Saccharomyces cerevisiae S288C: one gene and its partners. The protein of the gene in region 3 interacts with the protein of the main gene of each other region in a biochemical or structural test. Each region holds a gene or a part of one and is shown on either strand. Other genes may lie near its edges.

Region 1 (3,809 bases), on a different chromosome or scaffold from region 3:
TATATATATATATGTAATATATTCATAGCACTTACTTATTAATGAAGGCCATAAGCCAAACAACATCTCACCATTTTTCTTCAGGGTTTTCTTTAAACCTTAGGTAATCCTCTTTGTTGAAAAGCGAAATTTCGGTTTCATTCTCAATGCCATACTCGAACAGCTTTTTTTTGTCATTCTCTATGTCTAAAGTCCAGTCGTCATCGTGGTCAAAATTGATCACGAGATTAACCGTCTTGGAACCATGTGCGTGCGTGTATATCTTTAAAGTATCAAACTTAACATTACGGAATGGTCTGAATGAACCTTCATTTTGAATTTTGTTCAAAACGTCATTGAACAGGTCCTTTGCAGTTTTATCAGCAAGATCGTAATCGTGCAGCACTATGTTCTTGACGTTTCTATATGGGAAAGATTTTATTACTCGGATTGTAATAACGGAGTTCTTTAGTGGTCTGGCATTTGAGGTTAATGGCTCTTCCAAGTCATAATCATGAAAGGTTGTTGACATTTTCAGCCTTTTAGTTGAATTCATGAAATAATGCAACCAAACAAGAAAAAATTTGGGGGAGGTAGTCTACGCATTTCAGTTCTAACTTCCTTCCTTTTCTTTCACTATTAATTGAAACTTATTTTCATTTTTTTTCTTTAGCATTGAACGCCGAATCTAAAAAAGTAAAGAACTCCTCATAGGGGGCTCGAACCCCTGACATTTCGGTATCCTTGCTTAAGCAAATGCGCTTAAAAGCCGAACGCTCTACCAACTGAGCTAACAAGGATGAGTTCTTCGGAGGGCTAACTCATATAAATAACTAATAAAGGCGAAATAGTGGTCACCACCATCACACTACACCCATATCAACGACAAGAGTTTAATTTGACCGTGGAAATTTATTACTGCTGATTTGGGTTCTATGATAAATCCTCGTAACGTAGAGACTATGTTTTTATATGCGCATTAAGTGCCGGAAAACGTGAGAAATAGGCTTTCCGGAGCATCAAACCTGAGGTTTCATAAATTGTGTTCGTGAAGGATGCATTCCAGAGGGCCATCCATCCAGCATAAAAAGAGATCTACAAAGCAATTATGTGGTTTCGCCATTATCCGTAGGATGACCTAAAAAATGGTAATGATTCACGTGATCTAGAAACTTTAACGTGTTATATCATTCAAGGCGTAACTTATACGCGCGGGGTACCCTATCATATCTAACACACGTACCCTGGGTTAATGCCATGATCGTCTTTGATGTATCTCTAATGATCATTATTATTTTTTCTTTTGCTTTTAACATGAGTCAAAGCAATATTCTTATGTTATATAACTCACCCCATGTGCTCGTGGGCAGTGACGCACGCAACTTTTTCTCTTGCAAAAAATGGCATCGATGCTTTTCTGGGGAGGTGATATTAGAGGAGAAGAAGTCACAGAGTGCTCTTGGATCACGATCCCTCACTTGTACTTGTCCACTTATCAGCGCCGTCCAGTTACATTTGGAGAGATCTTTTTTTAGCCTGGCCTTCTTTGCTGTCATACTACTTTATATTCCGGGATAAAATATAAAGAAATATTAGTTAGGAAAAAATTAATAGGGAAGAAAGATCTAGAAGCAAACAGCAATGACTGCCGTCGCCTCTACTAGCGGGAAGCAAGATGCTGACCATAACCAGTCTATAGAGTGTCCAAGGTTTTCGCGTGGACAGAAAGAGATTTTGTTGGACCATGAGGATGCGAAGGGGAAGGATTCAATAATCAACTCCCCCGTGTCAGGGAGGCAATCAATAAGCCCTACTTTGTCGAATGCTACTACCACGACTACGAAATCTATTATGAATGCCACCGGCACCTCCGGCGCAGTAGTAAGTAATACTCCGGAGCCTGGTTTGAAGAGAGTCCCCGCCGTCACTTTCAGTGATCTAAAGCAACAGCAAAAGCAGGATAGTCTGACTCAGCTGAAGAACGACTCAGAAAGGACCAAGTCTCCAAATAGTAATCCTGCTCCTGTCTCAAATTCCATTCCTGGCAATCATGCAGTTATACCGAACCACACCAACACTTCAAGAACAACGCAATTATCTGGGTCTCCACTCGTCAACGAAATGAAAGATTATGATCCTAAGAAAAAAGACAGTGCTCTTAAAATAGTTGATACCATGAAGCCTGACAAAATCATGGCCACTTCAACGCCAATAAGTAGAGAAAATAATAAGGTAACCGCCAAAGCCCCCACCAGTATTACACTTCGAAAGGAAGATGCACAAGATCAAGCTAACAATGTTTCAGGCCAAATTAATGTGCGTTCTACCCCGGAAGAAACGCCAGTGAAGCAGTCCGTCATTCCTTCCATCATCCCCAAAAGAGAGAACTCCAAGAATTTGGATCCCAGACTACCTCAAGATGATGGAAAATTGCACGTGTTGTTTGGCGCTACAGGTTCGTTATCGGTATTTAAGATCAAGCCAATGATTAAAAAACTAGAAGAAATATATGGACGTGATAGAATAAGCATTCAAGTTATCCTCACTCAATCAGCAACACAGTTTTTCGAACAAAGATATACCAAGAAAATTATCAAATCTTCAGAAAAACTAAATAAAATGTCGCAGTACGAATCCACTCCGGCAACTCCAGTGACACCAACACCAGGACAATGCAACATGGCTCAAGTAGTCGAGTTACCCCCACATATTCAACTATGGACCGACCAAGATGAATGGGACGCATGGAAACAACGAACTGATCCTGTACTTCATATAGAACTACGTCGCTGGGCGGATATACTGGTAGTAGCTCCATTAACTGCAAACACATTATCAAAAATTGCTTTGGGCCTGTGCGACAATCTTCTGACAAGTGTCATTAGAGCTTGGAATCCGAGTTATCCCATTCTTTTGGCACCTTCTATGGTGAGTAGCACTTTTAATTCTATGATGACAAAGAAGCAACTACAAACGATAAAGGAGGAAATGTCCTGGGTCACTGTTTTCAAGCCGTCTGAGAAAGTTATGGATATAAATGGTGATATTGGTCTCGGGGGTATGATGGACTGGAATGAGATTGTTAACAAAATCGTTATGAAATTGGGTGGGTACCCAAAAAATAACGAGGAAGAGGACGATGATGAGGATGAGGAAGAAGACGACGACGAAGAAGAAGATACAGAAGATAAGAACGAAAACAACAACGATGATGATGACGATGACGACGATGACGACGACGACGACGACGACGACGACGACGACGACGACGATGATGACGAGGACGAGGACGAAGCAGAAACCCCAGGTATAATAGATAAGCATCAATAAATAGTCTATGAATTACAAATACACTAAACACATTCTACTTATTTGTGTTTTGTAATTTCTGGAAAAATACTCATTAGGCAAATTCACGCAGCATATTTACAAAATGTCACAAATTTTTTTCCTTTTTTACTTGCAGTAGGTATGTAATGCCATACTAGCGTACATAGAGCTCTTCATATAAACCGCTATTTATTACTAATTTTAATAATTCAGTAATTCATTAAATACATTCATTACTTTCTGGGTAAATATCTATTCGTTTCTCATTTTTCTTTTTTTGACATATCCCGGTACCGGAATAAGTCCGATACTATTCAAAAGCTTCTGGAAAAAAAAAATAAAAAAAAGAAATGATTAGTAATCATTTAATTTCATGACATATTAAAAAGGTATTCTAAGCAGAAGTCTTTCATCACATTTGATCTAAGCATATACACTGTAAGTGAAGGTATCGATGTCACAATACAAAACTGGTTTACTTTTAATACATCCGGCGGTGA
Region 2 (2,676 bases), on a different chromosome or scaffold from region 3:
TATGCTGCTCTTAAATATCTCCTCTATCAGGGAGCTATATTTCAATAAACAATGGCAAGAAACACTATCCCAAATGGAGTTATTGGATTTACTTCCTTTCTCAGACGAGCTATCTGCTAGAAAGAAAGCACAAGATTTCTCTAATTTAGATGACAACATTGTGAAAAATATTCCAAATTTGTTGATTATCACTCTAAGCTGTATATCGAACATGATTCATATCTTGAACGAAAGTAAGTATCAATCGTCCACAAAAGGTCAACAAATTGATTCCTTAAAAAATGTTGCGAGACAATGTATGATTTATGCTGGTATGATTCAATACAGAATGCCAAGGGAAACGTACAGCACTTTAATTAATATAGACGTCTCTCTATGATTTTTTTAAATATTGTATATTTTTGTTTATATCTATATATCAGTATGCGCGCATACTTAGTAAAAGTATAAAAAGCCATTTGCTGCTTCATCGAATATTTTGGCTTTCGTTGTACAAAGCCTCAGTCCTTCTTTTCCTGCTGTTTTCGCCTGTATTCAGAATAATCTGGTTGGATTTCATAAGCATTGGGGCTATATGACCTTTTTTTCTCAAGTTTACGATGGCGCCTTTCCAATCTTCTTTGTCTACGTTCGTTAAAGTCAAGATCCTTCTCATTCTCAGATTCTGAAGAAGAGGATCCGGAAGAAGAGGATCCATCATCATCTGAATGATGGTTGCACTCTTCTTCATCCTCATTTTGTGGATGAAAAATGCAGCATATCTTGGTCTTTTTTTTATTCATGTTTTCATTGTCAATCACATTTTCTTCCCATCTTACATTGTGCCTTGTAGGCATTGCCTCCTGGCTTCTTGGAGGATCTTGAGTTGCTCGAAGCTGCAAAACTGCGGGAACCTCTTCCACACTCACCGTTCGGGACCCTACGGTCTGTTGTTGTTCTGATCCCATAGCCATTTGATTTCCACTCATCCTTATAGACTTAATTGAAGACTTAGCTCGCAACTCCTGGCAGTTATAAGCTCTTGGGACCCTTGACTCGAATTGTTTCTAAATGATAAATACGGCCCCTTGTTTATACTGAAACGCACGTCGCTGATGATTTCGGACCTCCAAGGTGGCAAATTCACAAGAAAAGCCTTTAAGCTAAGAAACGGTTTATGACCAGTATTAATATTGAGAAAGAAAAATAGCAGGTGATAACACAATTAAGAGGACTTAACAAGAAAGACGAGACATAATGGAACGACTACAGAGATTGATGATGAATAGTAAGGTGGGGTCCGCGGACACCGGCCGTGACGATACGAAAGAAACTGTTTATATTTCTTCGATTGCGCTTTTAAAGATGCTAAAGCATGGTAGAGCTGGTGTTCCCATGGAAGTCATGGGGTTGATGTTAGGTGAGTTTGTCGATGATTATACGGTTAACGTTGTGGACGTGTTTGCGATGCCTCAATCGGGTACCGGAGTTTCTGTTGAGGCTGTCGATGATGTTTTCCAAGCGAAGATGATGGACATGTTAAAACAAACGGGCAGAGACCAAATGGTCGTTGGCTGGTACCACTCTCATCCAGGGTTTGGCTGTTGGCTATCTTCTGTTGATGTTAATACTCAAAAATCTTTTGAACAACTAAACAGCAGAGCTGTTGCTGTCGTTGTTGACCCTATTCAATCCGTTAAGGGAAAAGTTGTCATCGATGCTTTTAGATTGATTGACACGGGCGCATTGATAAATAACTTAGAGCCTAGACAAACAACCTCCAACACAGGCTTATTGAACAAGGCCAACATTCAAGCCTTAATTCACGGTCTGAATAGGCATTACTATTCTTTAAATATTGATTATCATAAAACCGCGAAGGAAACCAAGATGTTAATGAACTTACATAAAGAACAGTGGCAATCAGGTCTTAAGATGTACGATTATGAAGAAAAAGAAGAATCAAATTTGGCTGCTACAAAGAGTATGGTTAAGATAGCCGAACAGTACTCTAAGAGAATAGAAGAGGAAAAGGAATTAACCGAAGAAGAACTTAAGACAAGATACGTTGGTAGGCAAGATCCAAAGAAGCACCTTTCCGAAACAGCAGATGAGACACTAGAGAACAATATTGTTTCTGTGCTGACGGCGGGTGTTAATTCAGTGGCAATTAAATAAACAAATTTTATAAAGTCATTATGCATTAAATAACTAGAAAGCCCACTACATATATATTATATTGTATTTTTCTAAAAATTCTAATGAAGTAGTTAATGGAATGAATGGGAAAGAGAAAACGCGTTAGGAGGGAAAAGGCTCCTTAAATAACAGTAAAAATGAAATGGCTACTGGTAGTCCCAGTGCCAATTTTTTTTTTTACTTTCTTTTCTTTCACTCTTGCTTTTCCCATACTTGTATAAACGTTTCCTTCAAAAATAAAAGCTCGGCTTCTCTCTCTGTCGTATTTATGCCATCTATTTCTATCCATTTTTCACTTTTGTTATCATACAGCTGAGTAATCCAATGGCTTTTTTCATCACCATTAAATGCGTTTCCATCTGTGGATGGTTGTTTAATGACCACATGGACCACATTTGCTTTTAAGCGATACTTGACGTGCAAAATTTCAAGTTCACTGGAAAATTCCACCAACGTTTGGTTTCTATTTTTGACAGGATGATCACTGTTACGGTCAAA
Region 3 (8,703 bases):
AGCACCTGCAAGTGCCAACAAGTTGCCTATCAGAACTTGCACGGCATCGTTATCATCACCACTAACGTCCGCGATATGGCGTTGGTAGCGCTGATGAGAATCTGATTTGGTGACCATGATTATGCCTACAAAGGAAATGAACGACCCGAGTACTTTGGACTTGCTCAACGATTCAACATGACAAATAGCACCTATGAACAAGGTGAAAAAGGAAGAAGTAGTGGAGAGGATTGTCTGCGATGCCACCGATGTGAATGCCAGCGAGGCATTGGTCACAAGGTTAGCTGTGAACCAAAGTATGCAGAACTCAGCACTTAACTTGATTGTTTCATATAACGTTAGCCTCTTCTTTTGGTTGGCATGCGTGCCTGCTTCAAGGTTTGTAAGCAGTGGGCTAGTCATATCAACCGAGCGATTGCTATCACTACCAGTACCTTCTTCCTCCATAATTAGTTCGCGGTGAACGTTTGCACGGCCTGTGTCCTTGTAATTCACCACAACGGCCTTTGCAGTTGGAAAAAGATAAAAGATAAAGGCGGCAGTATTGGTGTACGTGATAAAGAATGGTTTTCTATACGAGTCATCCTCGAAGATCAAATTTATCAGGAAGGACGATAAAACCCACAAAATAATGACTAGACCCAACATCAGAAGACCCAAGGTCCACCTCTTATTAAAGGACGTTTGATCCTTCGACACCATGGCTCTGTTGAACTTTTATCTGAGAGAGGAAAAAAAGGAAGGAAAAAAAAGAAGAAACTTCCTTTATTTATTTGTCTTAACCACAACACACAATGCAATAAGATGCAATATAATATCAAAGCCAATATCTTATGTTGCTGATCCTGAGAAGGAATATATACAATTTATGTAGTAAAATACCTTTTCTTCTGCGAGTTGCAAGAAATAGAAAAGACTCCGATTGCGCATCGCCAGAATAAAATTTCACAACCACACTTTTTGGCTGAACTTTTTATTACCTGATTAAACAGAGAGAGAAAAGGTAGAGGTCAAAATTTTTTAAGCAAAACTAAAAAAGATGCAAAATCACGTGCTGAAAATCTAACATAAGGGTTAAGATTAGAGTTTTATAGGACTTGTTTTGTAATATTTCAAATACGAGCTAACCCTACTGATTTCAATTAGGTCTAATTTAGGGTTGAGCTGCACTGAAATTTCGGAAATTTTGGGTTATTTTAAATGAGACAGAAGAACTACAGAGATACGTTCTTCAGACTTTAAAGCTTATCTCCACAAAGAATTGGTCAAGAAATCATCCTAGAAAAACACGTTTGCTCACTCGATCTTAATCACATAGAGTGCTGGAACGGGAAGAAATGGGTATGTGCCTCGGTTTTTCTCATTAACCCCTTTTGATCCATAACGGTCCTCTTTTGTTTCCTTTTTTTTTTTTGTTTTAGTATTTTATGTTTACTATTTTCTTCTGTTTCAGTCATACGTAGGAATTATTGCATGAAAGAGGATATAATATTCATGTGGATTTTTAAGAAAATAGATCAAGTTTAAATAGCCACTAACAATTGAACAATGCTCTCTCTTGGCCTCTTTTCTTCTTTTTTATCGTTTCTCTAAAAATCAAGCTGATTAGACATGGTCTTGCAATGTTTTTGCTTTCTCTAATCAGCTTGGTTTTCCGCAAAGAAGAGAAAGTCACGGAATTGTCTACATATGTTTCTATTCAGGAACAAATAATACATCTAATAATAATGGCACTACGAAGAAAATGTCCCTAGAAGAATTTCTAGGGAACGACACTTTAGGCGAGTCAGTATGGGATGAGGAAGATATTAATTTGGATGCTATAAGCAATACTACGAATATTGACATCTTGAAACAAACCAAGGCAGGCGAACATCAACGTGATGGTCACCAACAGCACCCACACGGTGGTCATGGACCCATGAACAGATCACGTTTTTCTAATGCAGGGCCTTTTGGTGGTGGTAGCATGGGGGACTTTGCAAATCATCACCACCCGCTGCAGCATCAGCAAGGTCCTCCTTATATTGTGAAGTTTTCTGATTTACCACCGAGATTTTCCAACTTTGACATTGAAGATCTTTTTCAAGCAAAGTTTACCAAGTTTATTAAGTTCAAACTGTTTTGGGAGATAAATAAAAATCCAAGTATTTCTACTTTGAAATCGGGGTCAATCTTTGATCAAAATTTCAAACGTGACTCGAAGGTAGCATTTGTCGAGTTATATACATCCCGTGATATGGACAAAATTTTGAACTATTGGACCACTCCTTTGAAGGAAATTTACCACATTACAACAGCGCCCGCAGAATTCGAAGATTTTAAGGATTACAGCACGAAGGTGAAATTATTAACAGACCCTAAAGACGATGCTGGCAAACCATTCATTACTAAGACTCAGCGGTCAAAATCCAATCCTTTTGGAAGTGCTAAACCGGTTGATACGCAATCGAAGATTTTGGACATTGAAGAAAAAATGGAAAATTTACACGTGGAAGATACAACAACCCTGAGGGCATCATTAATCCCTAGTAGTGATTCTATGGCAACCACTGCAACAGGCAGCAAGATCACAATCTTGAAAAAGCAGACACCTACAGAGGAGGAATCACATTCTGCAACCCCAACTCCCAAACCTTTAAGTTACTCTGAAGTAGTTGAGAGATCTGTGGTCAATGAAACTTCCAAGAAAGGAACTCCATTAAGCAAGCTTGACTCACCAGCTCTTGAACTACAATCTAAGCCCGATAAATCGGACGAGTTCAAAGGTGGCGATGAACAAGGCTTTGAGAAAGGTGGCGACGATAAAGCTCAATTAGATGTCTCAAATGATAAAGATAAAGGTTCAGAAACCGATGTTGATAAACAGTTCACTTTCAAGAATGTGGAAAGGGAACATAGTATGAGCAGAACCAAATATAACGGAAACCATAATAACAATAATGGCAATTTTAGAGGGAGTAATAGATATCGTGGAGGCCCCAATGGCAGCAGTTATAAAGGTGGGCATAACAATCGTGGTAATCGCGGCGGATATCGTGGTGGCAGCTCATACAACAACAACAACAACAACACTAATGATAATAATAATAATAATAATAATAGTAGTAGTAATAATAATAACGGTTCAAGATATCATGATCGACAAAACAATGAAGAAGGGTTAACCTCGGATTCATCTTTAGATGCCTCAGGAAATAAAAAGAATGATTTCACGAACTCAACATCCAATACACAACAATATTCCATTTTCAAACCAGCAAGTGGGTTCCTTGGCCAAGGTAATAATGATTCTATAAGGAACAATGGACGCGGTAACTATAACAGCAGCGGTATGAATGGAGGTTCGAGAGGAAGAGGATTTGGCAGAGGAAGGGGATTTGGCAGAGGCGCATATAACAATCGAGGTAGTCGTGGTGGACGTGGAAGCAGCGGTAACTACTCCAACTACAATAACAGAACAACAGACATGCCTTTATGAGTCATGTACTGACCCATTAATTTTCTTTTCTCTTTTTTTTTTTTTTTTTTTTTTTTCCTCTATTTCCTTTTTTTGTTCTAGTCGGTTACGCAGTTCTGAGTAATGTAATATAGCGTTCCTTTTCCTCTCAGATTTTTTTGACCTTATTTTGTTTCCACTTTTTACTACTTATGCTGCTTTTTGTCCATTTCCCCTTCAGTTGTTTTGAATTTTTTTTTTAAAAAAAATTCGTCTTTCTGATTAATCAATTTTGATTATATATTTTCTCTTGATTAGTTCACAATTTTTATAGGCCCTTATTTCTTAAAGAAGTTTTATGAAGTTTCGTAAGTATTGGGGGGGTTGAAAATAATCTCTCACGTTATACGCAATAAAAAATTAAAATTAAGGAGAACCAATCTATAGAAACGAACCATTGAATTTAGCTATATGACTATATACCATTACGTAATTTATATAAACAGCTTAATATAGCGAAAGCAAAGTAGAACGAAATTTCGGAGAGTTCTAGATTGTATAGAGCGAATGAGCATTCAATACACACGCGAAGGCAGTAGGCGATGAAAGGAAGTTTTTTAATGTCATTAAGAAAAAGATAGGGAACTTCTATTTCCTGTCTTTCATATATATATATATATATATATATATATATATGTGCATATGTACATCGTTGAGTTGTTCATGAAATAATGAATATAATACTTCTGGATTTTTTAGTCAGTAAATTTACTGTTGAGATTCGTTATCATTTGTGATGCTTGTTTCCATCATTTGCTGTTGTTGATTAGCCAGTTTTCTTTCCTGTCTACCTTTCTTCATAACTTGCTTCAAAGCTGCACTATCTAGTGGATCTAACAATTCAAAAGAGCACAATAAACCTTCGCTGACGCTCATTACAGCCCCCCAATTATCAAATTCACCACAATAATTTGGCGCGGAAAACACCGTAACGAGACTTCTATCATTGAAAAATTCATAACCGTCTTCCACAACCATGTGAGCTCTACAAACCAAATCAAACCCAAACTTGTTCAAGAATTTGTTAATTGCCACCTTATTATAACAGTAACTTACACCACGTTCGTTATCCTCCCATTCGTTGGGTGAATCTGTGGGATCGGACCACAAAAGATCATTAATTAAGCCAAAATCTGGTACATCAGTAGGCCTAACTACATGTCTGATTTCATCCATAGAATTTAAAACTGGCGACAATCCACCATGAACACAAAAAATCTTTCCGGCTACGATAGCAGCTAATGGTAATGTATTAAAAGTATCGATGAATGTCTTCCAGATCTTGATGTTACAACGACGTTTACATTCATCATAAAATCCATAAACCCTTGTGACGTTAGCACATTCATGGTTGCCTCTCAATAAAAAGAAATTTTCAGGGTATTTTATTTTGTAACAAAACAATAGTAAAATAGTCTCCAGTGACTGTTTACCACGGTCCACATAATCACCTAGGAATAAATAGTTCGAGGATGGTGGGAACCCACATTTGGTAAAAAGCCTTAAGAGATCCCCATATTGGCCATGAACGTCGCCTACAATTTTTACAGGAGGTGATAATTCTAATAAGGAAGGTTGAGAAAGAAAGATTTCACGAGCCTTGATGCAAATCTGTAAAATTTCATTGTTCTTCAAACAAACATTTTTTGTTCTCTTAGCAGCGTAGCCCGCATCCAGTAATTTTTGGATAGTTTCATCAATATCGATAGGCTTTTTGAATTTTTTTGGAGCGTTTTTGTTTCCGGAAGATTGCATTATATCATTAAATTCCTCATTCGGATCTTTTTTGCTATCTGTTATATTATTATTTTTATCATTAACATTTTCCATTGATGCATGGATATTACTCAATTGAGATGAATTTTCAATGTCATCATCATTGCTGATGTGTTTGCTCGGGTAAATATCGCGACTTGAATGGTGATTCAATGAGGAGGTTGAATTAGAGGTAAAGTATTCACCAGAGTGATCTGTTAGCTTGGACAAGCCTGGAGAGTTTAATGGGGTGCTGTATGCGGTATTACCATCTGATCCAAACGAAGATTTCCTACTGTGTAGCGAAGATGCATGAGAATTTGACCGGGTTAATGCCTGAACGAGATAATTCTCCTGATTGTTAGAGGAGTATGATCCATTGTTAGGCTCTTCATGGGTCACATCTGATTTCCTTCTTGACACTGATCCGCTTCTTATACTGGACGGACGAGAATTCGAAGATCTAGAAAACCTTTTAGTGTGCGAGATGTCGTTGTCTTTATCATCATTGTCATCATCGGTTAAGGCGTTCTCATAATAGGTAGATGAGTATGAAGATTTATGCTTGGATACGTGTGTGCTACTATTGTTTGTTTTTAAAATGGGTGACTTGGGTTCCATTTGGATCATTGAAGGTGGTAAATCAGCAGCAGCCTTAGTATTATAACTTGATCTTCTAGAAGTAGAAGGCCTCTTAGTAGAGGATGATGAAGGAGTAGTTAACAATTCGTTTTGAGAATTTGAATGCGAGTGTGAGCTAGATGGGAAATGGTAACGATTCGTGTGAGAGCTATGTCGTTGGTGATTAACCTCAAGATTGGGCTTTGATGGAGTGGAGGGATCAGGGACGTTTGAATTAGTATTCGTAGTGGACGAAGAAGGAAGAGATCGCCTTGATCTTGAAGATTTATTTGATTTTGCAGACTTCACAGAATGGGAAGTCTCGGTTCTCGACACTTGAGGACGAGGATTTCTCGAGGAGGAATTCGAATGTGAATCCTTTTTCGAAGATTTTGAACTTGAATTACCCATTTTGAAAAGGAAGGAAAGATAAGCAGAGAGTGGTTGATTTGTTGTTTTATGACAAAGCCTCTAGGGGAAAAGAAGCGACTATAACGATGAAATAAAAATAAAACGATAAAGAAAAGTATAATCAAATGTATTCCAAAGAAGTACTTTTATATATAATCTTTATATTTAACTTGAAAGAAAAAGATTTAACATGTATTGCCAAAACAAACAAAACTAATAATGGAAGCTATTGTATTGTGCTTTTATGTTACCCACCTGCCAATGGTTCACAAGAGAAAGCTGATTAACAGAATTAGAAGATCTGCAGTAATCGTTTTCTTTTTTTTTTTTTCATTAATTTATATGCTATCCTTTTAAAAATAGACATGTCATTTCAAACGACATGTTAAAAATTATATATATGTTTATATATAGATTGATATATGTTGGAGCCGTTGGACAATTATGGGCAGCTATCTGAACATGGATCCCTGCCCTTCTCCTTGAGTTCTCCAGTAAGCGTTAGGCAAAGTGTCCGACTGCAGACGGTAGAGTCTCCACGCCTCACGGATGTGTTCGGGCAATAAGGGACTGTTGTTATATTTCTCGATGCTTACATCTAGTTTGTTGAATTGGAGGACGAGCTTATTGTACTGCTCGATGAGTTGTAGCTTCAAGTCCTGTGAATTATGGTCTGATTGCTGTAAGGATTTGGACTGTAGCAACGAGTTGCCCAGCGTAGTTTCGCGCTTGTCTACTTCTTCATCGTCGAAGTAGAAATCAGGTTCGTCTTCGGGAACGCTATCGGATTGATAATCTTGCTTGTATTGCTGGTTTTCTATGATGGAGAAAGTCAATTTTTTTAGATATTTTTTCAATTTATAGCCTATTTTGGTCCTCTTATCAAACTCTATGCACATTTGACTTGTCAACCACTTATTCTTCACAATCATGGCCAATTCGATTATCTCACCAGCGTATATTTTTCCCACCGCTTGCAGAAAAACACGAATATTTTCACTTATAGTTTGATTAGCTACTGTGCTAGCCAGTTTTTTGACCTGGGTTTTGTTTAGGGATGTTCTATGGAAAACTTCAAACCGATTAGTTTGATCTTTATCCAAGTTGGTTACCAAGAGCTTGAATTGTTCGTCCTGCGCAAGTTTTTCATTTTCATCTTCGTTGGTATTGGTGTCTTCGTAATTGCTATTTTGTGTTTGCTGTTGTAAAATGTCTTGTGGAAAGATCAGGTTTTCTGGGACTTTGTTGATAGAGTCCGGGTCTTGCTGATTTATCCTGGTTTTCTGGTATTTGTATTTTGGATATTTATTTAATTGGTTGTTGATTGATGTACCACCCGTTCGCAGGTTTTGCAATTTCCACGTAACGTAGTCCTGGTCCTCACTGATGACTTGGTCAATCATTTGTTTTGTGGAAAAATAGTTTGCTATTGTCAGTATTGGCGGATAGTTCACTTTCGGGATGGTGTCCAAAGGACCTTGAGGTTCGGTCATCGTTGCGCTGTTGAAGCTCAAACTTACTTTGTGCTCTTCATTTATATGGATAATTATCTCTATATACCTCTTCTTGATTTTTCAATTTCTTTCAACTTTTCAGTCGAAGAAATGGGAATAAGAGAAAAAATTCGGTAATGAACTGAACAGAGATGAGGTCTCGAAGAGCCAAGAAATAAAAGGTTAAGAACCAACATGGAGATAAACCAAGCGGCTGAAAAAGAACAGGAGTATGTTCACAAAGTGTATAATGAGATAGCTCCGCATTTCTCGCAAACTAGATATAAGCCATGGCCCATAGTGACTCAGTTCTTGAAGACTCGCCCAATGGGTTCCATCGGTATCGACGTCGGGTGTGGCAATGGAAAGTACCTCGGAGTGAACCCTGATATATATATTATCGGTTCAGATCGCTCAGATGGTCTTATTGAGTGCGCCAGAGGAATAAACCCATCGTACAACTTACTGGTGGCAGACGGGCTGAACTTACCACACAAAAACGAAACATTTGACTTCGCCATCTCAATTGCTGTAGTGCATCACTGGTCTACAAGGGAGAGACGTGTTGAGGTGATCAGGCACGTTCTATCGAAGCTACGTCAGGGCGGACAAGCATTAATATATTGTTGGGCTCTAGAACAGGGCAGCTCCCGTAGAGGTTACCATGAAGGTATGGAGCAAGATGTCTTTGTCCCCTGGGTTCTTCCCAAGAGTAAATCCAAACCAAAAACTAAATCAACGCCGCCTGCTAAAGTCAAGACAAGGCCAAAGCCAAACTTAATGAATATTCCCCCAAAGGAGCGTTCCGAATACTTGCAGCGCTGGAAGGAGGAACAGCAACGCAGTAAGTCTCTTGATGATAACGACGAGAAGCAACAACAAGATCAAGAACAGGAAAGAGAAGAGGTAAAATACCGATACTAT

What was found.
Region 1: the proteins of PPZ1 (region 3) and SIS2 form a complex in vitro, tested with the Saccharomyces cerevisiae proteins (7 studies listed by BioGRID).
Region 2: the proteins of PPZ1 (region 3) and YPI1 form a complex in vitro, tested with the Saccharomyces cerevisiae proteins (one study listed by BioGRID).

The regions. Positions count from the first base shown.
Region 1 is NC_001143.9:575,935-579,743, reverse strand, and holds SIS2 (phosphopantothenoylcysteine decarboxylase complex subunit SIS2), read left to right. Parts: upstream 1-1,620; coding exon 1,621-3,309; downstream 3,310-3,809. Other genes in the region: AIM29 (Aim29p), read right to left, coding at 68-535; YKR073C (uncharacterized protein), read left to right, coding at 1,237-1,557; electron carrier DRE2, read left to right, coding at 3,764-3,809. UniProt on the Saccharomyces cerevisiae protein: Component of the phosphopantothenoylcysteine decarboxylase (PPCDC) involved in the coenzyme A synthesis. Acts as an inhibitory subunit of protein phosphatase PPZ1, which is involved in many cellular processes such as G1-S transition or salt tolerance.
Region 2 is NC_001138.5:152,157-154,832, forward strand, and holds YPI1 (type 1 protein phosphatase-activating protein YPI1), read right to left. Parts: upstream 969-2,676; coding exon 501-968; downstream 1-500. Other genes in the region: linker nucleoporin NIC96, read left to right, coding at 1-379; proteasome regulatory particle lid subunit RPN11, read left to right, coding at 1,237-2,157; mRNA splicing protein SAD1, read right to left, coding at 2,371-2,676.
Region 3 is NC_001145.3:235,251-243,953, forward strand, and holds PPZ1 (salt homeostasis regulator), read right to left. Parts: upstream 6,287-8,703; coding exon 4,208-6,286; downstream 1-4,207. Other genes in the region: YML018C (uncharacterized protein), read right to left, coding at 1-702; PSP2 (Psp2p), read left to right, coding at 1,338-1,341, 1,704-3,481; TATA-binding protein-associated factor TAF11, read right to left, coding at 6,739-7,779; TRM9 (tRNA (carboxymethyluridine(34)-5-O)-methyltransferase), read left to right, coding at 7,975-8,703. UniProt on the Saccharomyces cerevisiae protein: Essential for the maintenance of cell size and integrity in response to osmotic stress.